Linked DNA regions of Oryctolagus cuniculus. The protein of the gene in region 2 interacts with the protein of the main gene of each other region in a biochemical or structural test. Links are inferred from orthologs where the notes say so. Each region holds a gene or a part of one and is shown on either strand. Other genes may lie near its edges.

What was found.
Region 1: of the proteins of LRRK2 (region 2) and MBP, one has a biochemical effect on the other in vitro, tested with the Homo sapiens proteins (6 studies listed by BioGRID). The link is inferred for Oryctolagus cuniculus from reciprocal best matches to the Homo sapiens genes LRRK2 and MBP.
Region 3: the proteins of LRRK2 (region 2) and BAG2 form a complex in vitro, tested with the Homo sapiens proteins (2 studies listed by BioGRID and IntAct, with this or other methods). The link is inferred for Oryctolagus cuniculus from reciprocal best matches to the Homo sapiens genes LRRK2 and BAG2.
Region 4: the proteins of LRRK2 (region 2) and CDC42EP3 interact on a protein array, tested with the Homo sapiens proteins (2 studies listed by BioGRID and IntAct, with this or other methods). The link is inferred for Oryctolagus cuniculus from reciprocal best matches to the Homo sapiens genes LRRK2 and CDC42EP3.
Region 5: the proteins of LRRK2 (region 2) and LGALS8 form a complex in vitro, tested with the Homo sapiens proteins (2 studies listed by BioGRID and IntAct, with this or other methods). The link is inferred for Oryctolagus cuniculus from reciprocal best matches to the Homo sapiens genes LRRK2 and LGALS8.
Region 6: the proteins of LRRK2 (region 2) and NDUFAF7 form a complex in vitro, tested with the Homo sapiens proteins (2 studies listed by BioGRID and IntAct, with this or other methods). The link is inferred for Oryctolagus cuniculus from reciprocal best matches to the Homo sapiens genes LRRK2 and NDUFAF7.
Region 7: the proteins of LRRK2 (region 2) and CUEDC1 form a complex in vitro, tested with the Homo sapiens proteins (2 studies listed by BioGRID and IntAct, with this or other methods). The link is inferred for Oryctolagus cuniculus from reciprocal best matches to the Homo sapiens genes LRRK2 and CUEDC1.

Annotation. Positions count from the first base shown.
Region 1 is NC_091441.1:2,286,014-2,289,781, reverse strand, and holds part of MBP (myelin basic protein), read right to left. Parts: intron 2,454-3,768; coding exon 2,334-2,453; intron 1-2,333. UniProt on the Homo sapiens protein: The classic group of MBP isoforms (isoform 4-isoform 14) are with PLP the most abundant protein components of the myelin membrane in the CNS. They have a role in both its formation and stabilization.
Region 2 is NC_091440.1:131,745,960-131,750,459, reverse strand, and holds the start of LRRK2 (leucine-rich repeat serine/threonine-protein kinase 2), read right to left. Parts: upstream 2,928-4,500; 5' UTR 2,826-2,927; coding exon 2,669-2,825; intron 2,526-2,668; coding exon 2,440-2,525; intron 1-2,439. UniProt on the Homo sapiens protein: Serine/threonine-protein kinase which phosphorylates a broad range of proteins involved in multiple processes such as neuronal plasticity, innate immunity, autophagy, and vesicle trafficking.
Region 3 is NC_091436.1:112,404,705-112,409,063, forward strand, and holds the start of BAG2 (BAG family molecular chaperone regulator 2), read right to left. Parts: upstream 2,999-4,359; 5' UTR 2,837-2,998; coding exon 2,724-2,836; intron 1-2,723. UniProt on the Homo sapiens protein: Co-chaperone for HSP70 and HSC70 chaperone proteins. Acts as a nucleotide-exchange factor (NEF) promoting the release of ADP from the HSP70 and HSC70 proteins thereby triggering client/substrate protein release.
Region 4 is NC_091433.1:165,016,989-165,021,359, reverse strand, and holds the start of CDC42EP3 (cdc42 effector protein 3), read right to left. Parts: upstream 2,868-4,371; 5' UTR 2,845-2,867; intron 1-2,844.
Region 5 is NC_091444.1:61,223,959-61,227,726, forward strand, and holds part of LGALS8 (galectin-8), read right to left. Parts: intron 3,193-3,768; coding exon 2,982-3,192; intron 1,498-2,981; coding exon 1,378-1,497; intron 467-1,377; coding exon 410-466; intron 1-409.
Region 6 is NC_091433.1:165,582,557-165,586,840, reverse strand, and holds the start of NDUFAF7 (protein arginine methyltransferase NDUFAF7, mitochondrial), read left to right. Parts: upstream 1-1,467; 5' UTR 1,468-1,555; coding exon 1,556-1,610; intron 1,611-1,903; coding exon 1,904-2,067; intron 2,068-4,284. Other genes in the region: CEBPZ (CCAAT/enhancer-binding protein zeta), read right to left, coding at 1,257-1,412. UniProt on the Homo sapiens protein: Arginine methyltransferase involved in the assembly or stability of mitochondrial NADH:ubiquinone oxidoreductase complex (complex I).
Region 7 is NC_091448.1:33,330,623-33,334,390, forward strand, and holds part of CUEDC1 (CUE domain-containing protein 1), read right to left. Parts: intron 1,921-3,768; coding exon 1,794-1,920; intron 1,219-1,793; coding exon 1,026-1,218; intron 196-1,025; coding exon 112-195; intron 1-111.

The DNA.
Region 1 (3,768 bases), on a different chromosome or scaffold from region 2:
ACACTGTGGCTGTCACATCAGGCAAGGACACAGAGCACATTGTGTCCCTGAGAGGAGGTGGACGCGGAGCCCGAGTTACTCCAACCAGCAAGAGTCATCACTCTGGACAGTGCTCACTCCTGACAGCTACCAGGGGACCTGCCTGTGCCTCAGGATGAAAAGTACACACAGGGCGCCTCCGCCTGCGTCCGGGGAAGGCCGCCCTCGACTGGGGGCAGGGGCGCTGTGCAGCGCTGCGGCCCGGGCTCAGCTGCCAGCTGCCAAGGGCCTTGTCCTTCTTTTCCAGCCAGAGACTCCCAAGTCCAGGCTCTGCTGCACACCTGGTTGGGGGTCAGGGTGAACCGCAGGCCACACTCATTGTGCTCCCTGGAACCTGCTGCTCCCCTACCCTTCAGACCCAGGGCTGTGTGTCCTGCCTGGGGGCGGGCGCTGCTCCGGCTAACCCCTCTCTGCAGGTCCAGGGCCTCCCCCTGGGCCTCTCCCTGGCTGCCTCGTTCTACAGATCCTTGGGCCCTGTCCCGTTCTGTTCCTTCTGCCGGAACCAGGGTTTCCCACTGTGCGCGCCTGGCTGCTGACCTCAGGTCTCGGCCCTGTGTAGTACTCCCTGGCCACCCCACTGGGCGCTACAGGCAGCTCTGCCCACACCACCAGGGTGGCTCCTCTGCCTGCCTCCTGCCGCCCTTCCTACAGCGTTTCTCCTCCTCACTCCCATCCCCATTCCCACCCCAGACATGAGCTCCTTGACCAGGCTGTGCACTTCTGGCTGTGTCATTCATTCAGGGTCCCCGAACCCAAAACTGCCTGTGGTATCCACCTAGGGAGTCCGCCTGTGGTGTACACCTAGGGAGTCCGCCTGTGGTGTACACCCAGGGAGTCCGCCTGTGGTGTACACCTAGGGAGTCCGCTTGTGTTGTACACCCAGGGAGTCTGCCTGTGGTATAGACCTAGGGAGTCCCTGTCTGTGGTGTACACCTAGGGACTCTGCCTGTGGTATCCACCCAGGGAGTCCGCCTGTGGTGTACACCCAGGGAGTCCGCCTGTGGTATACACCCAGGGAGTCGCCTGTGGTGTACACCCGGGGAGTCCGCCTGTGGTGTACACCCAGGGAGTCCGCCTGTGGCATGAGCTGCACTCGGGCAAGGCTGCAGGACTGGCTGAGACTCACAGCCCTCGCCCAGAACAAACAGCCTGGCCACTGCCTTCGCTTGTCCCTTCCCCGGCCTGGGCCTCTGCCTTCCAGGGACCTCCTTGTGCGCCAGGGCCGGCGAGCCCAGTAGGGCCTTGGGAGTTCCTGCACCTGCACAGCCATGAAAAGGGCCCTTCTCTACCCCTGGAGTTCACGCAGAACTGAGTTAGGGCCTGACAGAGATGGAGCAGCCTGCCTGGCTGTCAACGCGTGCTCCTGTCTCCAGGGTGGCCCCCCCATGCACTGCACAGTCCTGACCCATCTTTTCAAAGCTGCAGGGGCCTGGGACCTGCCCTTGTGGCCTCCCAGGAGGCAGGGTCCTGGTGGCACAGGCTTCCTCCCAGAGAGCAGGACGCTGGGCTCAGGACGAAAGCCTGGACTGCCCCCCACCAAAAAAAAAGCCTGAGAAGCATTTAAGAGAGACACTCAAGACCTGTCTGAGGCGAGCTGGGCAGAGCTGTGTGGGCGCACAGGGTCTGTGCCTCCCCCCGGCACCAGCCCGACTTGCACTGTGCACACGGGGTCTGTGCCGCCCCCCCTCCCCGCACCAGCCCAACTTGCACCGTGCACACGGGGTCTGTGCCCTCCCCCAGTGCCAGCCCATCTTACACCGTGCACACGGGGTCTGTGCCGCCCCCCGGCACCAGCCCGACTTGCACCGTGCACACGGGGTCTGCACCTCTCAGCCTGCTGGGCCACGCCGGCCCTCCCTTTTTCTCTGGAAGGTTCCTCTTAGCATTTCTCTGAAGGTGTCTGTAGCTGATCCTGTTCTAAGCAAAGGAACGGCCAGCCCACGGCCCGCCTTTGCCCGCTGCACCGCATAGCCCACCCTGCGAGGCGCATGGGCCTACCCTGAACCCCCAAGGGGGAGCTGTTCTCAGACCCGTTTGGAAAGTGCCCAAGCTGGAGTCTCTGGGCCTGACCTCTCACGCTCTGCCCTGAACGAGGGTCGGGCCCCTGTGCACCTGTGCAGTTCCCACAGGTGAGCTGAGGCCATGCCTGCTGGGCTCCGGGAGGCCCAGCCTCACCGCCTGGACTTTCGCCACAACCTGTCAGCTGGGTCGGCCACCGTTTCACACACAGGAGCCCCAAGGCTGCCCTGGCCGGCCCTCCTCCACTCCTCCCACCCCTCCCACGGGGTCCTTACCAGCTTGAAGAGCCTGGAGAGTGTGCCCTGGGCGTCTGCGCCCTTGAGGCCCTTGTGGGCCGATTTGTAGTCAGCTGCTCTGCCTCCATAGCCGAACCCGGGCTTCTGGCCCTCGGCACCCTGCAAGACGAGACCCGAGTCAGCCTCAGGAGCCTTGGTCCACACTGCAGAGCCGGCAACCAGCTAGCCCCTTGCTCTCAGGGGCTGCGGCCCAGTGCTCACTGTGACCACCAGAATCGTGTGTGGAGCAGGTGCTGCCCCCGGCCTGGGCTTCTCCCGAGACGGCTGTGCACGCCTGCCTGCACCTGTCCAGGGAGGGGTCCTGGGGGTCTGGTGTGTGCACGGGGTGCTGGAAGCACCACCGCCTCTGGGTGACCCGTGGGATCCCACTCACCCCTGCCCAGCTCCAGGGCCCTGGACGGGCCGAGATGCTGAGGCTAGAGGAACCTTCCCCAGAGCTGACCAGCATCAACCTGACCTGGGCCAGGAGCCCTGCCAGGAGTCCGGGGCTGCTGCTGGGGGCAGGGAGGCAGGGCCACAGCTGTGCACGGGGCAGCTGCGTGCTGGCGACAACGGAACCTCTCGGCTTGTCTCCTCGTCGACAGAACGGCTGTCGTGGGGACAGGTGCATGGAGGGGTGCTGCTCCCAGGCCAGAGCCTGTAGCCCTGGTCCTGCTCTCCGGCCATTACCACGGAGGTGACTCCAGGCAGGAAGGGCCCCGCCCCACAGCCCTTCTCTCACTTCAGGGCAGGGGCCAAGTCCCCTTGTGGGGGTCACAGTGATGAGCGGTTACCAAAATCCCAGAGTGTCTGCGTCCAGGGCCGTTCTGTCCTCTCGCGCACTTGTTTTCCCACGGGAACTTGCCCTACCGCAGGACGAACTCCCGGCCTGAGCACGGGGCCGAGTCCCCCGCCGTGGGCTCGCCGTCCAGGGACTGAGGTGAAGCAGGCGGCTCGGGCTTTCGGGAAAGGACCTCAGCTCGCTCACGGACTCCTGCCGAAGCCTGGGGCCCCGGATCTCGCTCTCTGCTTTGGAGACTCACTGAGTTCTCTCCTGAGGATCCGGCCAAGACCGTGGGCTGTCAGCCCGGCCTTTCCGATTGCACAGTTTGGGGACAGGAAGGGCCTGGGATTGTCCCCTGCCCCTCGTCTTGGCGGCGGTGCAGGTGCGATCTGGAGCGTCCAGGCTCCTCAGGGCCGCCCCGCTGGTTGGGCAGGGCCGGGGCTGGCCGCAGGGACCTCCCCCCACAGAAGCCTCCTCTGCCATCACCTCTTCATGCGACCTGTGCTGGGGAGCAGATGCTGGCCACGTGGAACCCAGGTGGCGATGTCCATGTGAACACCGGGATTCCATGCTTAGCAAGGGGGGAAGGGGTGAGGGTTGCGAGGCAGACTGGCTAAGCACCACAAACTAGAGGAACGCCAGTGCTACCCC
Region 2 (4,500 bases):
ATTTCTGTGCTTTCGTAAGACACACTGAGACTCTCCTTCCCCAGTATCTAAGAAAATACATGATGAACAGTGTCCGGTGTGGAATAAAAAGAAAAAAATGAATCACCGAGGATGCTCACCTCGCGTCTGTACCTGCCTGGCTGACACAGGGAGAAAACCTGTGCTGTTTTCGTTGTTGAAACTGCAGCATCAACAACGGCTCTGCAGAAAGATGCAGTCACCGAGCTTGCAGGAGCTCGGCGGAGCGTGTGTGAGCCAAGACCATCTCTGGCAGAGCAGCAGAGGTAACAATCGATGCATTCATCCAGCCCATTAAAAGCTTATCTTCCGAAGAAGGCCCCTATTCTGCACAGCTACTGCGCAATCACATCAGTAGCTTCACTTTAGGATAATGATCCTATAAACCCAAGCATCTCATCAGTGCACAATGGAGTGCAGAGGTTAGCAAGATTGTAAGCCACTTTCATTGATTCTGCGCCCCCTTTTCAGTGGCTGAGACTGTGCGGATAAAAAGTAATACTGAGGAGCAGAGAGGAAATGAACGGCAGCGAGAGAGAACTTGGCCTAGCTACCAGGTCTCCCAACAGTCATCTACTTAAAGCATTCGTAAAATACACAAAGGTCCTGAAGAACTCAGAGCCTGCAGTGTCACATTAACGGGCTTCTGAGAAAGCCCTTTTGGAAGAGTCAGGCACCTAACTCCTTAAATATGTACTTGCAGCAGGTGAAGCATTCAAGTCTTCTGCGCCGACAGTCAAAAAAATCTGGTGAGGGAGAAACCTGCTTTTACGTGGAGAGGCCCCTTTCCACATCCCTCAGATAAGACCACCTAATTCAAACTGATGTCCTGATGTCAAACCACTGAGCCTGTGCCTGGCACGCATTCTGCAGTTACTGCAGCTCAAGACGGAAAGAGAACCTGGGGGTGCGAAAAGTCTCAAGCCCCCAACTCTGAGACCCCCAGGGAGTCTCATAATGTCCACTGAGCTCCCGCTAGATAAGATACCCAGCAGGAGTTCTCCGAGCAGTGAGACCCTGTGAGAATCAAAAGGTGCCATGTCCATCATCCCTTATTTACTGTGCACCACGCTTTGCCTCTGGTACTCTGTGCAAAGACCCCGAGGGACCTGCCTAACGACCCCAGGCTCGGGCAGTTTCTCAAATTAACAATCAGGGACTATGTTCCTGGCTCCCTTGGGCTTCCCAGAGCAGCACTCCTCCCCACAGTGCATACCCAAGGCTGTGCAGGATCCCGGGGAGAGAACTGGGAGAGAGACTCCAGAACACCCAGCACATGCTGGAAGAAGGGTGGTGTGGGTGACAGCAGCAAGCACCATCAGCCAGCCCCTAACAACTACCCAGACTCGAGAGCTAAAATGAGGACTCTCTTGACCACGCCTGCCCTTCCCTCTGGGTTTGGTTTGACAGCAGACAGAACATCAACTGTCAGATGGCAAACACTTCGCCATTGAAAGAAAATAAACATTTACTCTAGATGTAAGTGTTCTCATAGGAAGCAGGCAGATCCAGGGCCCAGGGCTCATGCAGAGGAGCTGCAGGTACAGAGACAGACCCAAGGTGGAGAGACACTGCCATTCTCCCAGCTGCAGCCTGCCAGATCAGTGCGCGGGCCCCTCCCCCCAGCGACCTGACCCGCGGGGCACAGGACTGCTCTCAGTTCCCCAAATCTCAAAAGCTGCACAGGACGTCATCACCTTGGGGAGTAACCGTCCTGGGGTCAACCACTCTCAAGGCTCACTGACTCCTGCCTGAACGCCCCGAAGGCCTTCGGCGCCTTTCTGGGTTCCCCCATGCTGCAGGGTCTCGAAGTTTCACTCCTACAGAGGTTTTAGGTCACAAACCTTAGCGAAGCACCAACTCAAACAGGTGAGGCAATCAGCAAACATCACTTCCTTTAAATCCTACAACGCAGCCCGAATCTCACGAAGGCGCGGAAGCCTTCAGACTGGAAAGAGCAGCCGCGGAGAGCCAGGGCGCAGACCTCCAGCCGCCTAACTGCGTCTGATTGCCGTTCCCTGCGCCCCTTGGTCAAACTCGCCCTTCCCAGACGGTCTGGTCTGGACCGCGGCTGCACGTGGGGGAGCCGTTCAGAGGGGTTCCTCCCAGACACGACGGGGGGCTGGCTCCTCCTGCCAACAGCAGTCCCCGCGGCCACCCAACCCCTGCAGCCAGCTTTGGGTAGCGGCTTGGGAAAGCGGACTGGAGCGTGCCGGGCCCTCAGCCCGTTAAGTCAAGCTCAGGATCCCCCAACAATGCCTCCAGCCTCAAGACAGCCAGCGGTTCCGGAGGCCAAACCTCGGCTCGGCCCGGCCCGGCCCGGCCCAGCAGCCCCGGGGATGCGGCCTCCCCGCCGGCAGGCAGGAAACGTCGGGTTCCCAGCAGAAGGAGTCGCGGGGTGGGGTAGGGGGGCGCCCTCACCTGCTGCACACTCGCGACCCTCATATACGAATCCAACACGATCAGCAGAGGCACGTGGAAGCTTTTGCCCCGAAACAGCCTTGAGGCTGCAAGACAAGAGGGTGAGGGAGGAGAGGCAGAGTCAGGGCCCCTGGCGCTCTGCGCCCCGGGGAAGGCCGGGCGGCAGGAGCGCAGGAGCCGGGACCGGTTCGGGGCGCAGCGAGGCGCAAAGTTTGCGCGGCCGCCTTACCGCGCTCCGAGTACGTGAACACGAGCAGGTCCTCCAGGGTCTGCACCAGCGTCTCGACCTGCTTGCCCTCCTGGACGTTGTTCAGCTTGACCAGCAACTTCTTCAGACTTTCCTCGTCCTCGTCGCTGCCCTGGTTGCTGCCACCGCCACTGGCCATGGTGGCTCGGGCTGCGAGCCGCCGCCCTCCGCGCCCCGAGGAGGCCTCCTGCGCCCGGGCCGGCCCCGCGCGCCGCCCTCCGAGGCCCGCCGCGCCCCGGCCGCACGCGCGCGCCGCCCACGGGGAAGGCGGCCCCGCCCGGCGCGGCCCTGCCTCTCCCGGGCCCGCCTCCCTCTCCCGAGCCCCGGGCCCGCGGCCTGCGTGGGGCTCGGCCCAAGCGTGGATCCGCGGCCCGGCTGGGGCGCGCCCACGCCCGCGAGACCCGCCCTGGCGGCGCCGGATCCCGTAGGCAGCGGTGGCGGCGGCGCGGCCGGAGCCCACGGCGACCCCACCGCGGCCCGCCCGCCGGAGGTCTGCGCCCTGGAAAAAAGGAAAAGCGAAAGCCGGCGGCCTGCCGACCTAAGAATAGAATCCGGGCGTTGGGCGAAGGGGACGCGGCCCAGCCTCCCGGGTCGGGATCGCGGCCTCGGGCTAGGGGATGCGCTCTGCCCCAGGGATGCAGCGGTGCGCGGGGAGAAGGGCCCGGCCACCCTCTGCCGTGGCCGCGGCGGGGGACGCACCATGCGCTTCCCCGTTGCTATCGCGAGCCCCGGGGCTCAGGAGGCCCCCAGAAACCAACTTGCGAGCTTGAGTTTGCGGCAGGCGGCACCGTGGTGGAGGGGACGCCGGGCAGGGTGGGTTCTGCGCGCCGTGGGAACCGAGAGAAAGACGGGGAAGTGAAAGGAGAGGTGAGAGACCCAAACCTCAAGTCTGTTTGCTCAGTGTCCAGAATGACTCTGTGGGCCTGTGCGTCTGCGGATGGAAGGCAGGGCGGCCTCCGGGGGTGGGAGTGGGGGGTGGAGGCTGGGGTCCTGAGAGAGGGAGAGGCTGGGCTGGAAGTTAGTGCTTCTCCGTTCCCATATCGGTGGCATTTTACATTTTACTAAAGAGGAAGCTGGGGGCTGGAGCTGGGGAGTGGGGCTGAGCCGAGGTCCCGCAGGTGCGCACTGGGGAGCCCGGACTCGCCCCAGGTGGACTGAGGTCTTCCCAATTCCCGCCTTAATCAGAGTGGGCTTCGCTTTCCCAGTGGATACCTTGAAAATGCCCCTTGAATGTTTCACACACAGGCCGGAGCGTTTGTGGTTGAAATGACGGAGCGCTCAGGTTTGCTCCAGAGTCCCCCGTGGGGAGGGGAGGGCTGGCACGGGCGGAGGCAGAGGTGGGTTGATCCCTGTTGAAGGGAAGAGAAGCGTTCGTGCAATCTATGGTACTTCTCTCTCTGTATAAGATTTTCCAAAAGCGACAGACAGCGCCTTGCACTCCTTATCAGATCTCCAGTGTGTGCTTTTCCAATCGGCGTGGAACCTGTCTGAACTTCCGGCCGCAGAGGCAGTAACTGCGCTGTCCCTAGGAGTTCTCCCTCTGTGCCCTCCTCCTAATCCCTTTGCACCAGGTGCTCCCTTCCCAGACCACTGGATTACCACTTGTAAGAAGCCGGCACTCCGTCAGCCAGCCTGTGAGCAGGCCCAAGGCCTGTGGCTTCTCTTGGGAGCATCCTCCCATGATAACTGCCTTGGGAGGCAAAGAGTCCCCTTAGCTTTTAAAAATGCTAAATTTGGGGCTGGTGCCGGTGGCATAGTGGGCTAAGCCCCTACCTGCACTGTATGGGCACTGGTTAGTGTCCCAGCTGCTCCTC
Region 3 (4,359 bases), on a different chromosome or scaffold from region 2:
GGTCTACCCGGTATCTGGCAGATCCCGGGTGTTTAATATTTACTGAACTAAAGGCTACTTGAAAATGCATTTTCCTGTCAGTAAAATCATATCATTTCTACATTTAAAATTATGATGTATTTAAGAGAATTAAGGCATGAAGTCTTAGAGCCTTGCGAGCCAGACTTCCTGTGTTCAGATTTAAAGCACACTACTCTCTGGTGGTATGACCTTGGATGAGTCTTTAGTTTCTAAGCCTCAGTTTCTCATCTGTAGAGTGCAGATTACAGTAATTTCCACACAGATATGGAGCCTGACATGTAAGCTGTATTATTTATAAATGATAAATGTCTAAAAAGATAATTAGCAGAGTAGCTTGAGCTATTGACAAATGTAAAATTATATTCCATTCAGAAATCATGAAAACCAGGAGAGAAAGGAACTGCCTCTTTGGGGACGCAATCTGGAGACAAAATGCAGTCAAAAAAGCAAGGCTTGTGTAACAATCAAGTATCAGAAACAAACTGAAGAAGACTGCCAAACATTTTACAGCATTTTAAGCATCAGGAAGGCCAAATATTCCAGGTCATCAAGCACTGGGTATAATCCTGTTTTTGGTTTCAGAGGGAAGAAGTTTCCTTCCCAAACATCAAACTAGCATTAGAGAACAGTACATGCATACTTCTAAGTACAAGCTAAAATGCCTCACTCTACTAACATAACTACTTTATTAGTGTTACTTAATATGACCTCAAACGATGAGAATAAATTATATATGAATTTCATGTTTGAAAACTCGACCTCCCTCTAGGCACGATTCTAGTTTTCACTGGTACAATGCTCTGCACATTGCCTGCATGGTATCATCCAAACTTCAGTTAGGATCAGCAGTAGCATTTTTCTCTATTTTTGCGAACCTTCTGAAACACTTGTTTAGTTTTCAGTATTACTCTTTTTAAAAGGAAGAAACAAAACTCTAGAATTATTCGAGAAGCCCTTGAAATGAACAATTAACACACATATTAATCAGACTTTCCTCCTTCAGCCCAAGTGGTAATTAAGCAACTTGTAATTTAATCACTTATGTGCAGTAATCAGAATTCATTTGACATTCACCAAATATCAGAAATACAGTAATACCCCAAATCAGAGGCCTTGTTTTAGAAGAGGAGCACTTGACTGCTTTTGTGCCTACCACATGTGAGGACAATGACTCAGCTTGTCATTGGAAGGAAGGAAGGAAGGAAGGAGGGGGAACATGCTCCTCATTCCTATAAGAGAAAACCTGTTCTCTCTGACTGGGGGAGAGAGGCTAGTAGAGAACGCCTGGAGAGAAGTCTAAGGTACTTACTAAGCTGCTACACAAAAGAAATCCCATTCCTTAGAGGGGCTTGGAGTAGCTGAGGCCACTGTAGTTTCACTCCACTTTCTCTGGGTGTTGAACCCAGGTTTGCTGATTCTGTGGCAATCCATAAGGAAGCATTGCTTCTCTCTTCAACTTGTCGCACCCTAAGTGAACCCCAGTACCTGGCTTAGGGCCCAGGTGGCTCTGTTGCCATCCCTGGAATTGTGAGTGGAGAATTTCACACTTTCTGGCGATTTCCTCCCAGTAGTAATAGCGAATCTTTTTTTACTAGCAGACACTGTGGTTACTGGTATCTTTTCTGGGCAAACAGACACTTCTTCATGTTTTGCTATATTAATGGAGGGAGAGAAGGACACACAATACAGCACTGTTTACACTTTGGGGCTTCCACACTCCTTTGCGCCTTCAGAGCTTGGCAGAAACTACTGAACCAAATCCTATGTACAGTGTCAGGGGGCTATGCGTGTCTCAAGATTTTCACCTAACTATACCTGCACACAACCACAACGCAGACACTAACTTCAGACACAAATGTTCATAGATAGTACATATACGTTTTTATACACTGTTAAAGGAAAAAGCCATTTCCAAAACTTATTACTACTTAGACATTCTATACAAGCCTATCACTATCTTACTTACTTAAAACTGTCATCAAGGGAAAAAGGAAAAACTGTTGACTATCTTTTCATGCTTTCGGGCCAGTGACTAGCACTTTTAAGGTCTCAGCAGCATCTTTTATGTAAGGTAATAAATATTAAGAAAATAAATACTGGAACACAGTATGTGGGCTTAGGAGAGCAAAGGCAGCCATAATGTCTTTAATCCACGAGGTACAGGACCCAGTTACTGTTCCTCCTACAGCCCCTCCCTTGGCCTACTGCTCTACAATTTTTGCTCTTAGATGCATTCCTGGGGTCCCCCCCCTTTCTGCTCTGAAGTGCTTTGGAACAAGAAAACTTCACGGGGGGTGGGGTGGGGTGGGGAGAACACTTTAATCTTTTTCCCTTAACTCGCAACCTTGGGGGGGGGGGGCTTAAAGATCTTTGGGACCCCAGAGAAGGTTCTGGAAATAATCTCCATTACCATCACCCTAACTTTTATCTTCTCTGGGTATTCGCTAAAACACACAGGTGTGTTCACGTGTCCATCAATAACGTGCTCACAGGTTAGCTGGGACGGAACGCGTTTTCTCTCAGCGAGGAGAGGAAAACCTGCCAGGACACAAAACCGCACCGCCTCCATCCACACCACCCCAACAAGCAACTTCTCTCGCCGCCGCTTGCCCCAGGCGGGGCCTCCGCCCGCCGGCCGCCCACGCGGCGAGCAGGACGCCCGAGCCCGCCGCGTGCCCCTCGCCGGCCCGCCGGCCGCTCACCTGAGCTCGAGCTGGTCCAGACTCTCCAGCAGGCGGCTGGAGCGGTCGGCCATGGAGGAGGAGCGGCAGAAGCGCCCCTCGTTGGCTTTGGCGTTAATCTTCGCCTGAGCCATCTGAGCCTCTGAGGCGGGGCGGCCGAGAGGTCACCGGCCTCTCCCGCGGTGGCGAGTGGAGCGCTCCCGGGCCGCAGGCGTCGCCGTCACCGCGCGGGGCGCCCGCCTCTCTCTGACGCCCGCGGGGGCGGCTCGCGAGGACGCGCCGACTCCGCCGCGGCTGCGTGGCCAAAGAAGGGCAGGCGCGGCGCGCGCGGGCTGGGGGTGGCGGGGCCTGGAGGGGGCTAGCTGGCCGCAAAAGCTCGAGGGTGGGCCTCAGGAGCTAAGGCCTCCGAGACTCTGGGATGGGAGGACCCAAAAAGGGGAGCACCTAACGTAGTCGGCTGCTCTCTGCTCCTGGAACAACCCGAAATCGGCGCGGAGACCCAGCGAACACCCAAGCCCCGACTCTTGGTGCAGCATAAAAGTAGCCAACTCCCCCTATGCGGAGTTACCATACCACACGGTGGGCAGGCTGTGGGTGCATGGCTCACCGATGGTTTCGTTTACTTCCTTTCAGCACCCAGAATTCAAAGCAAGAACGAAAAAACATTCAGGTTTCTGCCGACAGGGAGAAAAGGTCCCTTTGCAAAGCAGAAGACATAGAAGGACACCGCCTCCTCGGCAGTCTGTACTTGACCAAGTCACTTTTCTGAGAATAACAGCCTGGACCACACTGACGCTACTGAGAAAGAATGAAGCAGCTATCCCGTCTTTGCCTGTCTAGCTCCAGATGCGAAGCAAAGTGAATTTAATTCCCACACATTCCAAGAAAGGGAATTTCACTTTTATGCCTACAAAAATTTTTTCTGGTATTTTAAATAGTTGGTAATGGTCACTTCACACCCAACGTATTAAATCTGTTAACGACAACAACAAAAATCCAGTAAATATCAGTAAAAGATGGAGCAGGGCCGCTGTATTTAAAATATTGTGCTTTGCTCCGCTCTCAGGATAGCTCACGTTACAAGAATGTTCGTATTGCAAGTATGAAAACTGAAGGCATGGAAATGGTAATAACAGCTTTGAAGCTGAATCACAACCTTTCATCAGTGACCATCACCACTTAAATACTTTAGCAGAGAGGGAACTCTTAAGCCTGGATCCCAATTCCATCTGTACTCATTCTAAATACTAGTAAGCTTTTGGTATAGGGTGTTATTTGACCGATCTCATTAAACATATTTTTGCCAAACATTAAACTCGATATCCCAACACATTTTGTGAATGGCTTGATGTCTCTCAAGAGACTTTAGATTCACCTTGGACTTTCTCTCATGTCCTAGATCCAGTCCATCAGTAATCACATGAATGCTACCTTCACAGTATGTCCAAGATTCTTCCCTCAGCTCCATTTCCACTAGGTCCACGTAACCTGGTCAACTTGCACCTGGATCATTGAGCGTCCCTCTTTGGTTCATACTTCCACTCTTGCTTCTCATGTGTATTCTCAACTGCAATAATCCTAATTAAGGTGGATGACAGCACTTACTCTCAGAAACCTTCAGTAGATCCTCAGATCAGCATAAAAGCCAAGGTCCTTA
Region 4 (4,371 bases), on a different chromosome or scaffold from region 2:
GAGAGGTGAGGGGGATAGAGAGGACAGGCCCTCGGTCACAAGGTGAGCAGCTACAGAGCTTCCCCTGAGCCCTCAGACACAAAGTCCTCCTGCTTCTGGCCCCTGAAGTGCCAGCCTCTGCGAGGTGGGCTGCGGGGCTTCTGATCGCCTTGCTCAGCTCTGCGGATGCTCCTAGTTGGAGAGAAGACAAGATTTCTGCACCTTGGTGTCAGCCCTTTCTGCGTCCATTGTCCTGCTTTACCTCCGGGGCATTTCTTGGCTGTCAAGACCCAGAAACAGGAAGTGGGACTCCCAATCAGAGACTCTCCTTAAACCTCCATTACGTCATAGACCAACAGACAAACAAGGTATTCATGACAGGGTCATTGACATTGCTAAGTCATTCAGTCAACATTTCACCAAGGATGTGACTAGTGCTGAGTGTCAAAGGGGTCCCCAAAACAGCAACCTTAAATAATCCCAAAGCTAGTCACCGTTTTCATGCATAATGAGAAAACAAAATATTATGGCCAAAAATAAGTTAGAATTTCAAAGTAAAAGATGCTGTCTGGGCATTTCTGAGTGCCTACAATGTACCCTTCATATTAAAGAAGTAGAAATTCAATATAAATGGTAGCTCTATGACAACAGAGCAAATGGACATATCTTGAGACTTAGTGGCCAGAGCTTATTATATTTAATTTTTTATGCTGGTTTCAGTATCTTTATTAAAAATATTTATTTATTTATTTGAAAGACAGAAATACAGATAGAAGGGGAGAGAGAGAGGGAGAGGGGAGAGGGGAGAGGAGGGGAGAAGGGAGAGGAGGGGAGAGGGAAGAAGGGAGAGGAGGGGAGAGGGGAGAAGGGAGAGGAGGGGAGAGGTGAGAGGAGGGAAGAGGGGAGAAGGGAGAGGAGGGGAGAGGTGAGAGGAGGGGAGAGGGGAGAAGAGGGGAGAGGGGAGAGGAGGGGAGAGGGGAGAAGGGAGAGGAGGGGACAGGTGAGAGGAGGGGAGAGGTGAGAGGAGGGGAGAAGGGAGAGGAGGGGAGAGGGGAGAGGAGGGGAGAAGGGAGAGTAGGGGGAGGGGAAGGGGAGAGGGGAGAGGAGGGGAGAGGAGAGGGGAGAGGAGGGGAGAAGGGAGAGGGGAGAGGGGAGGGGAGAAGGGAGAGGAGGGGGAGGGGAGAGGAGAGGAGGGGGAGGGAAGAGGAGGGGGAGGGAAGAGGAGGGGGAGGGGAGAGGGGAGAGGGGAGAGGGAGAGGTCTTCCATGCACTGGTTTACTCCCCAATGACTGCAACAGCTGGGGTTGGCCTAAGATAAAACTAGGAGCCAGGAGTAGCTTCCGGGTCTCCCATGTGGGTGCAGGAGCCCCAGGACTTGGGCCATCCTCCACTGCTATCCCAGGCACATTAGCAGGGGGCTGAATTGGAAGTGGAGCAGCCAGGTCTCAAACAGGCACCCATACTGGATGCTGGCACTGAAGGCGGAGGCTTAACCTTCTATGCCACAGTGCTGGCCCATTGAATATCTTTAAATTAATTATGTAGTCTAAAGATCTTAGGCAGTTGATGTTGACCAGCTGTACTGTTTGCTTTATGAGCAGGTGGAACTATTTGAGTTTATTGGTTCTCAAACCACTGCCAGATAATTATGAAACAGGAGTTAACCAGCTTAGCTTCTCAGCCCATGTCTCTGTGAAATGATTATGAAGCCAAAAGCTGTCACTTCCCCGTCAGTGCTTTGCTGAGCCCCAGTGACCCCAGTGGTGCTCCCAGGCCACCAAGGCCACCTCTCCCACTCTCCAAATATTCCAATGAGGTGCCCCACTCTGCCCCATTCTGCCCAGTCTTCAAAGATTTGCACCCCTCCCCCACCCCCAGCTCCACAGGTTCCAACTAATCTCACTGAAACTTGTTCCAACTAACCTCAGGGAAACTTGCACTTAGGTACTGTATTGCTTATTGGGACGAAGGAGAATATAGGATTGGCCTCAACACGTTTCTCTATTCCTCTCTCCTCCTTGCCTTCTGGGTGGTGGGAGCTCTAATTGGGTTGAACTTGGTGTAATTCTGGAGCCACATTCATAAGCAAAACATAAAGATCCCACACAGCATCGACGACCCAAGAATAAGTGGAAGCTGCTGTAGATATTCTTTTTCTAGTTGCTAGAACAAGGGGTTGACCATTTTAAGATGCACAATCTAGTTAGAACCAATGGATGAAGGAGCCAATTCTTACTTCTGGATGCTGACTTCAAGCTCAGGTAGAAGTACTGAGACACAGTGTGAAATTCCCATTTTCACATGAACATTATATGTAATGCTAACATATAATATTGCATATAAAGTCTTTTTAAAGAAGAATGCAAGATTATCCAGTCTATTCAACTTATGATTTTTTTCTAATTTCAAGCCAAAGGTGTTTTAATTCTCATAGAAAAGTATTGAACAAATCATGACGACTAACTTTACTCATACAACCAGGCTTTACAGATAAGCATCTCCCTGTGCTGCTCTTCACTGGGTTCTACGACAACTCTTCAAGGCAGCTGGGACCCGGATTCCACTGCCCATGCGGCACCTGTGCTGCTGGCCACAACCACACTGCTAGTAAGTGGCCCTCTGAGCCATGGGTCTGGACGACAGCCCATCTTTCAACCACAGGGGAATTACTATTAATTTGTAAAGTAGCATTTGCAGTAATTTTGGACTTGCATCACAGACACACAAAGCTATCCAAATGATGCAAACCCACCTTCTGATGTGGGTGGAAATGGGTTCAGATCTCCAACAGAGCTGCTTAGAAACCAGGCCCACAGTGCTCCTGCTCTGAAGGCACCTCTCCCCTGGCTCCTTCAGTTTTCTTACCTGTGGCTGACAGTTTCAGGGTGTAAAATTTGCTTCAGGTCAAGGCTGGATTGGAATCTTTGCATCTTTGCCGAAGAAGCAATAAGTGCAAATAACCTTGAAAAAGAAAAACACAGCTGACATCCCTTATGCAAGCTGAGTACATTCCAAGACCCAACTGAAACACAGATAGTACTGAACCCTATGTAGACTAGGTTTTTTCCTACACAAACACATGGTGCATCTTAATTTATAAATTAGGGACAATAAATGACAATACCTAATAAAACATAGAGAAATAATAACAATATGCTGTAATAAAGCTGCCAGCATCACTACTCTTGGAGTCATTATTAAGTAAATTACAGGTTATTTGAACATAAGTCCTATGATATTGCAGTAATAAATTTGATATTTATCAAGGTGGCTACTAGATGACTAAGGGGCAGGTAGCATATACATGGTGACTACATTGCCTGACAGGATGATTCACACCCCCAGGTAGAGCAAAACAGCAAGGCAGGAGAATTGATCATGCTGCCCAGAGCAGTGTGCAATTTCAACTTTGGAATTCTTTCTTTCTGGGGGTTTCCATTGCATATTTTCATGCCTTGATCAACAGCAGGTAACTGAAACCACAGAAAGTGAAACTGGCTAAGCAGGGACTGCCACATGTTGCACTCCCTTGTCAGTGATGTTGTGGCAGGAGCACAGGCCCTGGGTCAGACGGAGCTGGCTGGCATCCTGGTTCTGCAGCCGGGACTAGAACCGGTGTCCATATGGGATGTTGGCATTTCAGGCCAGGGCATTAACCTGCTGCACCACAGTGCTGGCCCCTGTCAGTTTATTTTTAATCCAATTAACTGTACACTCATTGAGCAAATAATCACTAGGTACTTCTCATATATACCAGGCATTGTGCCGAGTGCTGAGTGCTGGTATATAGTACCAAACACTTAAAAAGGGCTCTCTGTGCTCTTTGGATCCAACTATGGAGTACCTTTATTAATTCACTTTCCTGTCTCCAAAAATTAGTAGTGAACATTGTAAATCCACCACTTTGGTGAAGAAAAGTTCTCTTTTTTTCCTGGCCACTTTGAAATGAGGAAATCCATCTCATATGAGCCCACCTATTCCTCTGGTCCTAGTTCCACCCCTCTGGGCCCACAGAAAGGAAGTTGAATCTCTCTGCACAGGCCATCCCTTCCAAAACCGTGCAGACAGCACCCGCTGCTCCCTGAAGCTTTGCCCCTGAAAACCAAGTCCCCAACCTTTCTGCTGCGCCACACATGGCATGGTCTCCACTCCACCCTTGTCACAGAGAACGCTGGACAAAGAGGCGGGGTGGGCACCTGCTTTGGAAGCCAGGCATGGAGATAATGCTCTGACATTTCCAGCAACCACATGAGAGGGAATGGGCATAGCCAGACACTGAGGATACCTGACGAGTATCAGATGCAGAATTTGGGATGAACGAATCAGCCGGATATTAACCGCATGGAGGTGGAATAAAAATAGGAGCATTTGGACAGGAAAACTTCCCAACCA
Region 5 (3,768 bases), on a different chromosome or scaffold from region 2:
GGGCAGCTGGCCTAGCAGTTAAGGTGTCGCTTGGGATGCCCATATACCATATCAGAGTTCCAGGACTGGAGTCTTGGCTGTGCTCTTGATTCTGTCTTCCTGCTAAAGTGCCCAAAGGAGCAGCAAGTGACAGCTCAAGTAGCTGGGACCCTGACACCCACATGTGAGACCTGGATTGAGTTCCTAGTTCCTGACTTTAGTCTGGCCCATCCCTGGCTGTTGTGGACATTTGGGGAATGGACCAGCAGATGGGAGTTCTCTATCTCTCTGCCTTTCAAGTAAGTAAGTTTTTTAAAATTTTAAGTAAAATGAAATCATAATATTAAAAAAAACAGCCTTTCTGCCACCTGATTTACATTGCAACTAAAAGAACACTTCCATACAGGTGGTTAAAAGATTTAATATTTACATTTTCTCTACTTATCGCTGTCAGCTCCACAGTGGATGCTTGGGTACTTTGTAAAACCTGAAGAAAAGATCATTTTTAACATCCATCAGAACATCTTTTCTAAATATGACCTGTTCAACATATCAAAAAATTATTAAAGGTAGTAAATATGAAAACATGCTTGAAAATTGTGCTCCAAAAATGCTCTTAACACGCCTGTCAATTGGGTGAACATTAAAGAGAGTACTATCTGGTGTCAACAAGAATGTGTGCAGACAGGCACAGGTGTTGAGAATGCCAATTCTTTTCATCTTTTTGGAAGGTAAGGCAAAAATATCTATCAAAACTTACAATGTAAATATCCTTTGACTCAGATATTTCACTTCCAATAAGGGATCTTACAAAAAATACTTCATGTAAAGGAAATGCCCCAGCTAACTAAAAAGAGTGCTTGTTTTGCTAGAACCATAGTAGATCTGAAATCATAAAGCCCTGGTCAATAGTAACATTCTACTACTCGGAAAAAATCACCTCCAAGAAACTACTACTCTAATAAAGGAAGTATTTATATTATTCTTATCTCAGTAGATGTTAATTTAATTTCTCCCAGTTTGTCAGAAACTATCACCCCACCCACCCACCCAAAAAAAAAAAAAAAAAAAACACCCTAGGGATAGGCATTTGGCCTAACAGTTAAGACACCTATGTCCCATATCAGGGTACCTGAGTGCAATACTCAGCTCTGCTCCTGACTCCAGCTTCCTGCAAATAAAGACCCTGGGAGGTAGCGGTGACGGCTCAAGTGATTGGGTTCCTGCTGCCATGTGGGAGACTTGGGTTGAATTCCTGGATCTAGGCTTTGTCCCAGACCTAGCCATGATAGGCATTTGGAGAGTCAAACAGCAGAGTAGAGCTCACTTTCTTTATCTCTCTGTCTCTCTACCTCTCAAATTAAAAGCATATGCCCCAAATTATGGAAGGGCACTCACCGAGCTGAAGCTAAAACCAATTGAGTGAATATTCACTTTGCCATAAATGCCCAGAGTGTCTATTTTCTCCAGACTTATCCTGTGGGCATAGAGGAGAATGTGTTTTCCATTTACAGCCACCTAGATGCACATAGAAAACACCCCCCACCAAAAAAAAAAAAAAAAGTAAGTTAATAAATTCTTATCCAAAAGTAAATGTTCTCTTGAGTTTAGCTTTATACCTTCCTTCCATGATTCTAAATACACATCTGACCAAACTGTGTTTGAAAGCAACCACAACGCTATTTCTTAACTTCTGGGCTCTTGATCTGAGTAGAGGTCATAGACCACTCTTCCCCAGACAGACTAAGCATTTCTGAATATATGTACATATCCATGTGTGCACCCACAAGTATACCTGAGACATCCGGGTTCAAAGATCCCCCATCAGTCCCTGCACAGGTGCCCTGAGGCCTTTGTGAGCTCAGGTTAAAGATCCACCCTGCCTGTTCTCCAGTTTCCTAGAGGACCACACTCTGAGATAGTCACCTACATGGTAGGCACCCCATGAATATTCATTGGATTTACTAGATGGATCAACATGGGCAAGTTACCCAACCTATTTGAGGGTTGGTTTTATCATCTGTAGACAGGAACAGTCTCTACCTCAAGGGCAACGGTTACAAGGAGATGACCAAGTAGCTTCTGCAAGTTTTTGGTCAGTATGCCCGGCTCCTCTTCTCTTCCTCCCCAGTACCCGGTGCCGTGTTAAGTTATGTGCAGAAAGCACAGCAACAAACAAAAGGTGTCTGACTCAAGGAGCTTAAAATCCCATCAGCAAACCACAAACACAATAACACCAGTACACTGTTAAAGAGTGTTTAACAGTAAACTGTTAAAAAGAATGATACAGGCACAATTGCTCAAAAGCCCACAGACAGGACGGGTGAATGGAGCTGACGAGACTTGAGGGACATTTTCCAATGCAAACAGTGTCCTTCAGGACAAAGGAATCCGCACCAGACACGTGAGTCCTGGCTGGAATCGGTGTGAATCTCCAGCCTGGGAAAGCTGGGCTTGAGGGCCAGCAGGTGTGAGAGCCTCTAGGACAAATTCTGCCTCACCTATACACCCCAGGTGCGTAAAACATTCCACAGAGCTAGTGATAGAACTTTCTACATGAAGGACTTCTAAGATCCCCTATGGATCTAAGCTGTCGTGATGTCATAGAATTATGTGGGTCAGAACTTAACTTTACCAATCCCTTCTGGTTTCTACACTGGGGTTCCCCGTCTGTCAGTTCCAGATCCTCCACACTTCGAGTGGTGGTGATCATAATTTACTTGCCCACAATTAACATATTGCTTTGTCAATTCAGAATTCAGCCCTGCCAGCAGACGTATGATCCAATGAAAAGATCTAGCCACACCGGGCCTGTTTTACTACGTGGCAACGGCTGGCTGGACAGAGCAGTTACGTCCTACCTCATGGTTAGGCCCAGTCCTACTACAGAGAAAAATGACAAAGCCAAACTATTTCTCAAATGTAATAAACAAAAGTGAAAAGCCCACCTGCGTGCTCATTCTCACCAGCGTGGATTCAACTTGTCCTTCCCCAAAACCTACCTGGAATTTTTCCTTCAGCACCATGATCACAATTTCAAAAGATTTTTCTCTATTGAAAGGCATGTCGTAGGTGATCTCTTCCCATCCCCATTTTTCATTCATCAGAGTATTGCATACGATGCAGCTGGTCCTTTTGAAACGAGGATTGAAATGAAAGGCCACATCGGCTCGAGGTTTCACGCTGCTGCCACACTGTAAATCCACTTGGAATCTATGTGGGGAAAGACACATGCAAGCACTCAGAAAGGAGGCCCACCAAGCACTGCGCTCCACGCCCAGTGATTTACAAGGCTCCCTCCTCTATTCTCTCACTAAAGGCCTAGCTGTCTCATCTTCCCTTCTTCTGCGTCTCAAGTGGGTCCAAATCTCCACCAGAACAAGAACCCACTTTTTCCACCGTTTTTTTGCAGGTAGGGCTGCCTTTATAGTCAAAGTGCTCCCAATAGATGCATATTGCCTTAAAAATCAGTACACACCTGCCTTATGTCTACTCTGGCTTCTCCCCCACCACCACATGCAGCCATCCCGCTACCAGAACACAACACTAAGGGCAGGTGTCCTAGTTGCTGAGGATTGTGAGACGGCGGCCCTCGACCCTGGGGAGAGCAGTGGAGAGCTGGAGGAAGCCCACTCCTCCAGTAATGTGATGGAGTTGACAGAAAAGATCTGGGCCACCTCCTTGAGACTGGATCGTCATATTTCATTTAACAAGTGTACACTGGCTCATTGCCCAAATGGCTGCAACGGCCAGGGCTGGGCCGGGCCAGGCCAGGCCAAAGTCAGGAGC
Region 6 (4,284 bases), on a different chromosome or scaffold from region 2:
TGTGGGAGGAAGGGTACTTTCATACATGGATGATATGAGTGTAAACTGGCACAACCTCTAAAGAGGTCAGTTTACCAACTTCAGAGCATACACATCCTTTGATCCAGTAGTTTCATTTCTACAAATTTAGATCACACATATCCCTAGAAATGGGGGGAAATATGCTTAACATTATTCACTATAGTATTACTTAAAATAACAAAAAGACTGGCAACAACTTAAAATCCACAATAAATGGCTGGTTAGATGCAAAATATGGGTAGCTCTATGCACCATGGTACTATCTGTGTAAAACACAACACATATATATATATATATATTACATATGTAACTGTGTATTTGCTTGGAGAGGTACAGAATATTCATAGAAGATAAAAAACGCACTTGAAGAAATAAGTGTTCCCCAGAAGGGAAATGCCTGTTTAGAGATAAAAGTGGGAAAGGAGGCTTTTCACCACATAACTCTTTCCTCCTATAATTTTTGTTTCCTGTTTTTATATCACCTACTAAAACATTATATATAACCCAAGTCCAGAGCACACTGTGTAGGCTGCATTGGTCCTGCCTCTAACCTGCCTTCACTCACAAGAGTATATATATATAAAAAAAAGCCAAATCTTATCATGTATTTGCTTAAACATCTCGCAAAGATTTCGCATCAAATTTACAGCAAAAGCCGGCCCTCTTACTCCTGAGCCTATTTGTTGCTACTCTCTCCTTACCTCACCCTGCTTCAGCTACGCGGCATCTGCACCGCTCAGGGGACATGTCAGACACTCCCGCCTCCCTGCATTCGCTGTGCCATCTGACTAGACTGCACGCTACTTCTCCTTCAGGTTCTTGCTAAAACACCTCGGTGATGCGGCCCCGATCAAGTCACTTCAAACGGTACCGTCCGTCCTCTCTCATCCTCCTGGTTCACTCTTAAGCGGCCCAGAGCACTAACAGAAACGAGCATCCCTGGCGTTGAAAACATTCACGCCGCGAGGTCAGGACCGGGGAAAGTCCGTTCTCTCCGACCAGATGAAGTGACGGATGTTTCACGTCAACAGAAGGGGAGGATAGTCCACTACCCGAAAAAGGCATAAAAGATCAACCTGAAGGGTTCGATTCGTAAAAGGCAGTGGAGAGAAGTGCTGGAAATGCGACAAGCACATTCCGCGGCTGGGTGGTCCAGGATTCCTTTCCCTCTCGGCGCGAGCGGTGGGCTTTCCCCGGCCCCAGTCCCCGTTCCCCTGGGGCCCTCCGGCCCTTACTTTGGTGCCTCCGAGCCGTAACACTTCCTCCAGGGTGAACCCATTCTCGGCTTCTCCGCTATCATCCTCGTCCTCTTCGTCAGGATCGCCCACTGCTTCCTCCCCGCGCCAGGGCCGCTTGGCGTGGAACTCCAAACGCGCCTTGGGGGCAGCCATGACCAACGCGCCGCGCACGCAAGCGCCACAGCTCACTTCCGCTTGTCCCGTGACGTACTTCCTGCAGGGGGCGTGTTCTCTCCCGGAAATGGCTGCAATCCCCACCCCCCGGGGCGGTGCGTCCCCGGGCAGCCGAGCTCGGCATGAGCGTCCTGCTGCTGTCCGGTCGGGCTTGGCTGTGCTCTGCGGCGCGCGGGGGTAAGTGTCAGTGCTGCAGAACCCGTACTACTTGGGGTTCTGTCCCAGTTCTTCAGCTGGGGGCTTCTGGGGTCCGGACGCTCACATCCAGCTTGAGGCACTCTGGGTGGAGAGGAGTCTGGCCGCAGACGCCGGGGGGCTGCGTGGTGGGGGGAGAAGTCTCGACGCGCTTGGGCGTCCTCCGCACGGAGTCAGCCTGTGGGGTAAGGGTTAACGAAGTTGGGTTGAAAGGTGCTTGCTCGTGTGAAGACTGATATTCTCAATGGACCTGTTTAATCTGTTTTCTTCCCCAGTCTTTCCCTGTCTTTGGAGAGGGAAATGCTTTTGCACTGGGAATGAGCGGGCAGAAAAGAACCCGACGACGCCAATGCTGCGGCATCTGGTGTATAAAATAAAGTCCACTGGCCCCATCACTGTGGCCGAGTACATGAAGGAGGTGTTGACCAATCCAGCCAAGGTATGGGTCGGGGAGCCTAAGGATCGGCCGGTGCCGGCAGGTTTGCAAGGTGGGGTCAAGGCAGGGAGGCCTGAAGGTCCGCAGCCGCGCTCGGGGGTACCTAGGGAAGAGCCATCCCCGAAGACGTGGGAGTGGGTAAATTAATCTGTCAGTCGTCAGGGCTGGGTCACGTCGGCGGCAGCGCCTGAGAGCAGAGGGCAAGCTCCAAGGGTGTTTCAGAAGCAGAGTGAAGCCGCTCGGGTTTCTGTGGGGAGGGGCGGATGACTTTCCTGCAGTGCTGCTGGTGCATGGTGCATCGTCGCTGTTGGAGAAGGAAGTGCGGAGGGGGAGACCAGCTGCCTGGAATGCTGCCTGTGTCGGGATTCGGAAGCGTGTTGTATTCTGGTTTTCCTGAGAGTGGGGGGTCACGGTCGTTAGTGTTCTAGGGTGAAGCAGAGTCGCAGCTTTCTGACCTGCAAGCCCTACGGAGGCATTTGGGGAAAGCCTGTAGCCCTTTAGTTTGGAATATCTCACGTGTTGCTGGGTTGAGATGTGACATGGGGAATTCTGGGGTTGGGTTGGCCTATTGCAGTTGGATGTGGTGGAGTGACTCCTGCGCCCAGGGGTGTGTTAAAGGCAGGGGTCTTTAATGCCTGTGGGCAATGGCTGTGAGGGGGAGGCCTCACCTAGTGTGGTGGTAGTGGAAATGGGGTGACAAGTGGGTGACGGCGTTTGCTAGTGGATTGGTGTGGCAGGGTGAAAGAAAAGGTAGATTCATGACTGATTTCTGGATTTTTAGCTTGAGCAATTGATTGGGTGATGGTCGTGTTTTTGGTGTTGAGATTGAGACAAGAGGATTACGTTTGTAGGAGTCCTGAGAAAAGGATCTATATCAGGTGCTGAGTCTTACGCATACTGTGATGGCAATGATATTCAGGTGGAGATAGTAAGGGGGCAGTTGACTGTTAAGCGTGGAATTCAGGGGCCAGCACTGTGGCCTAGCAGGTAAAGCTACTGCCTGCTTCTTCCCATTTGGGTCCAGTTCTGGCTGCTCTACTTCTGATTTGGCTCCCTGCTAATGTGCCTGGGAAAGCAGAGGAGGATGGCCCAAGTACTTGGGCCCCTGCACCCACGTGGGAGACACAGAAGCTCCTGGCTCCTGGCTCTGGATCCGGAAGAAGCTCCTGACTTCAGACCAGTCTAGCTCTGGCCTTTGCGGCTCTTTGGGAAGTGAACCAGCAGATGGAAGACTTCTCTCTTTCTCTTTCTCTCTCTCTTTCCCTTTCTGTAACTCTGCCTTTCAAATAAATAGATCAAGGGGCTGGCGCTGTGACCCAGCGGGTTAAAGCCCTGGCCTGAAGCACCAGCATCCCATATGGGCGCTGGTTCTAGTCCCAGCTGCTCCTCTTCTGATCCAGCTCTCTACTATGGCCTGGGAAAGCAGTAGAAGATGGCTCAAGTCCCTGGGCCCCTGCACCCACGTGGGAGACACAGAAGAAGCTCCTGGCTCCTGGCTCCTGGCTTTGGATCAGCACAGCTCCGGCTGTTGCGGCCAATTAGGGAGTGAACCATCGGATGGAAGACTTCTCTTTCTGTCTTCTACCTCTCTCTGTAACTCTGTCTTTCAAATAAATAAAATAAATAAATCTTTAAAAAAGGGTGGAATCCAGAGGAAAGACTGGAGATGAGTAAATTTGGTTGTCATCAGTATGTACATGGTGTTAAATGGCAGAGAACCAGGGAGAAAGGACCTACAAAAAGGCAGGCCTCCCAGTAGTAAGATTTGGAATAAGTCCGGAATTCACGATTGAGGTCTGACAAAGATTTATTTATTTGAAAGCAAGGTGTGAGAGAGGTAGGTGCTGGCTTACTTCCTAAGTGATCTCAACTGCTAAGGCTGGGGCTGAGGCTGAGCCAGGAACCTGGAACTCCATCAGTGTCTCCCACACGGTTGCCAGGGCCCAAACACTGGGGCTGTCTTCCACTGTTTTCCCAGGTGCGTTAGCAGGGAACTGGATTAGCAGTGGAGCAGCTGGGACTGGATCTGGCACTCCTGTGGGATGCCAGCATCACATTCAGTGGCTTAACCCATTGTACCACAATGCTGTCCCTAGAGTTGGGGTCCTTACCCAAGAGACTCTTGATAGAAATGATTGGCCTCATGAACTTGGATGGGAAAAAATTTATGCCATTATTTTTATTGACTTACAACTGAAATTTAGCATTTCTTCTGTTATG
Region 7 (3,768 bases), on a different chromosome or scaffold from region 2:
GACCCCAGCCTCATTTGTGTCCTCACCCTACCCCATAAACCGCGACTGTGTGAAGAAGAATGGGGTGTGAGCCCCTGTGTCCCCAGGTCCTCTGAAGGTAGGCAAGTTTACCTGGGACAGAAGAGGGAAAGCCAAAGTCGCCTCCCGCAGCCACACTGCTAGATTTGGATCTCTGGGACTCGTATTTCAATCGATCTGGAAAAGGACCACATTCCTGTCAGTGGAGGGGGCTCCCGGGCCAGCAAGGGCACACAGGGGCTGAGATGCAGGAGGGTGGGGGTAGGCCTCACACACGGTGCACTCAGGTCTACCAGCTCTCAAAGACCGGGCGACAGCACGGAAACTTTGGCCTGCCAGGGACAGCGCTCCGGGAGGTTAAAGGTCAGCACGAGAAGGGCCTGGGAGGCTGCAGCGTCCAACCCTCAAGTGCAGCACCTGAGACCTCCAGCACTGTGCTGCAGAGCTGGGGCCAGCCCGGGGCCTCCTCGCTCTCAGCCCAGCCTTCTTCCTGCACTGACATACATCAGACACACAGACACACACACACACACACACACACAACACTCCTGCCCTGAAGGGAAGAGGTGGCCGAGCCTCAGCATCTCCCACGCAAGCACAAGACCAGTGTCCTGCCCCGATGTCCACACAGGCGGTCTCAGAAGCCCAGCACCCACAGGCCCCCCGCCCTCTTCCCGGGGCTCTGGTTTGTGAGGAACGACTGAGCCCCCTCACCCCTGTCGCCCCCCCCCCACAAAGCCAGGCATGGAGCAGGTGTGCAGGGGGAGGAGAGGACCTAAGAGGGCAAACCCTGCAGGGGAGGGAGAAGCGGTGGCTGCAGGTGCCCCAGCTTCCCGCTGGCAGGATTCTGGGGCTGCCCCAAAGACAACCTGGCGGGGCCATGCCGAGCAGGACAGACAACACCTGGCACCCAGCCTGCTGCTCAGTGCTCTCGGGAGCCAGCATCGTGTCCCCCTCTCAGCCCCGGGCAAGGAGAGGCAGCTGGAGCGCCCCCACGCGGTGCCCACCTCTCTCCAGGGCGAGGAGGAAGTCGCGGTTGCGCTGCAGCTCCTTCATGAACTCCTCGTTCTGCAGGAAGAGTGCGATCCTCTCGTCCTCCAGGTACTGCTTCCAGCGGCTCTCCTGGTCCCTGGGGTCGGGCCCAGGCGCAGGAGCCGGGCCTCCCTCTCCACTCACAGGCTTGGGGCCGGCGGGGTTACCCTGAGGAGAGGAGTGAGCGTGGGGGAGCCTCCTCACGAGAGCAGGTGCTGCACCCCTCGCTGCATGCATGCCCTGCCTGGGATCCCCCAGCCCACCCCCAGCCCACCCCTCCTAACAGCCCCACTGTATCAGGTCAGAGCCCTCTCTGCTGGGGAAGGGCCAGGGGCTGAGCAGCGATGCCTCTCTCTCTCTCTCCACCCTAGATCACTGCTTGCCTTCGTTACAGCCAGAATGGTCCTGAAGAGACCTGCAAACTGCTCACCAGCCTCCACGTGGACCCCCAAACTCTCCCGGCAGCAGCCGCCTCACAGTGAGCCCCCCTCCCGCGGGGGAAGCCTTGGCCTGTGCCAGTTAGCTGGGGGGAAGGCTCTCTGTCACTGGCTGCCTGGCTGTGGCCCAAATCTCCTCCAGCTGTCACCTTCCTTGGGTAGAACAGGACACCTTCAGGCCTGGACAGGAAGTGAGGCAGCAGCCTGGGCTTAAACATCAGGAAGTAAGCTTGGCCGGCTCGAACTGCGTGGGCAAAAGAGATGCTGGACAGGCAGGTGGGAGAGGACGGCGGGGCAGCCCAGTACCTGCCCGCTGTCCAGCTGCTGGGGCAGGATGCGGAGGAAGTCATCCGGGAGGCTGCCCAGCAGCGGGGGGTTCCAGTTCCGATAGCGCCTCTGGCTCGAAGGGGGCCCAGAGCCCAGCACGTCGGTCCTAGGGTGGGGGTGCAGCGAGGAGGGAGCCGTCAGGCCCAACCACGGGTCTCGGGCGCATCACATCAGGTCCTCAGACAGGCTGGATCCGGCCCGGAGAGCCCTGTGGCCCCCACTGCCTCCAGGACCAGGGCCCTAGAGAACCGACTCCCTGCTCGCGGCGCTGATGGCGCTGCGGAATCACACGCACTGTTCACGCGCATCGCTGAGCCGCTCGCGCGCCTCCCACCCGGCCCAGCGCGAGCTCCCAGCTGCTGAGTGCCAGGCTCAGATGAACGAGCAGTTGCCCCTAGGCTGCCTGCACGTGGGCTTGCCGTGGGGGAGGCCAGGACCCCTCCAGAGACGGTAAAGCAGAGCCAGGCTCCAGTTCTGGCTGAGCCATAGCCAGCAGGGTGGTCTTGAGTGGGACCCCAGACTCAGCATCCTCACCCCAGAAACTGCCGCCCCCCTGCTCAGGTGCCCGGGAGCCTGTGTTCAGAGAAGGCAAACCAAGAGGTGTGGGGAAGGGGTCTCGTTGCAAGGGGCACCCAGGCAAGGGAGTGGTGGGAGGCCCGCACCTAGGCCAAGGCCAGCAGGTAGGCAGGGGGCAGGAGAGGCGGAGAGGAGAGGCACACCGGCTCCTGACCCCCGGGGGGCCTGCCCTTCCGGCCGGCCGGGGCCTGGAAGCAGCCTGGAGCCCTGCCAGGAGCTCCCTGCGGCTCCTCGGCAGCCTGTGGCGTGGCAACCGCAGGACACGTGTTCTGCTGAATCAGGGAAGTGACACAGTAAGAAGGCAGCCGGGGCTGGGCGCTGTGGGCCACTCTCGCTCCCTCGAGCTCACTGGCTCGCCTCAGGCCTGGCTTTGATTTGGTCTCCAGCTCCAGGAATCCCGCCCGCCCCCTCACTGGAGGGGAGCTTTTCCGGGCTGCTGCTGCTGCTGCTGCCTATGGAAATAACTTCCTTTCCTTTTCTATTTTGGGCCGGTGGTGGCTGGGGGGATGGGGGCGCGAGAGAGGGTGGGGGCGGCAGCAGAGCACAAGCAGCTGCGAAGTGCACGGGGGAAGCTCGGCCCTGCAGGCTAGGGCCAAGGTGACCCCTGCAGCCTGTCCCGCTGACAGCTGAGGGCAGAGTGAGAGCAGAGCGTGCAGAGTAACCTGGGATGCCTGTCCTGGGCTAGATCTTTCTAGAGGGCCCTGCCACCTCCTGTGTGTGGGGGGGGCACTGTCATGCTCAGCTCACCCAGGATGACAGCGACAGGAACCCCAGCATTGCACTTGGAGCTCCCCAGCCACTCTGCTACTGAGAGAGGGGAGGGGCTGAGGTGGAGGAGGCCCGTGTCAGCTGAGTTTCCCTCGCTGCTGGGCCTGTGGTCCTGGGGGGAGGGGGGTTGGGGGAGCGGGCCCTTTGCCCTGGCACTGGCAGAGATGAGGTCAGCCCACAGCTGCGCAAGCCAGGGGGCCCCAAGCCCAGGCAGCCCAGGCAACTCCATTGTGGTAGGGAAGGAATGTCAGAAATGAGCTGAGAGGCAAATAAAACACTTCCAAGGCTGTAATTTCAATGGAAAAACAGCAGGCGGCTGTGCCCAGGGGTCCACGGGTTGCCTCTGTCTTGCAGGCAGTGGCGGGGAGGGCCGGCTGAGGATGGGGCCAGAGGCTGCCGAGAAGTCCCACTGGGGTGAGACCTGGCCAGGGTAGACCTCCAAGACAGGCCCACCAGGCAGGAATGCCAGTGGAGACTGGACACTGCAGCCCAAACAGGGAGAGGCCGTGTCCCAGGGTGTCTGACCGCGGGGGCAGGACCTTCCCTCTCTGTGCCCCCAGGGAGATACCCAGCTCCCCAGCTCTGCCCCCTCTACAGGCCTTCAGGCACC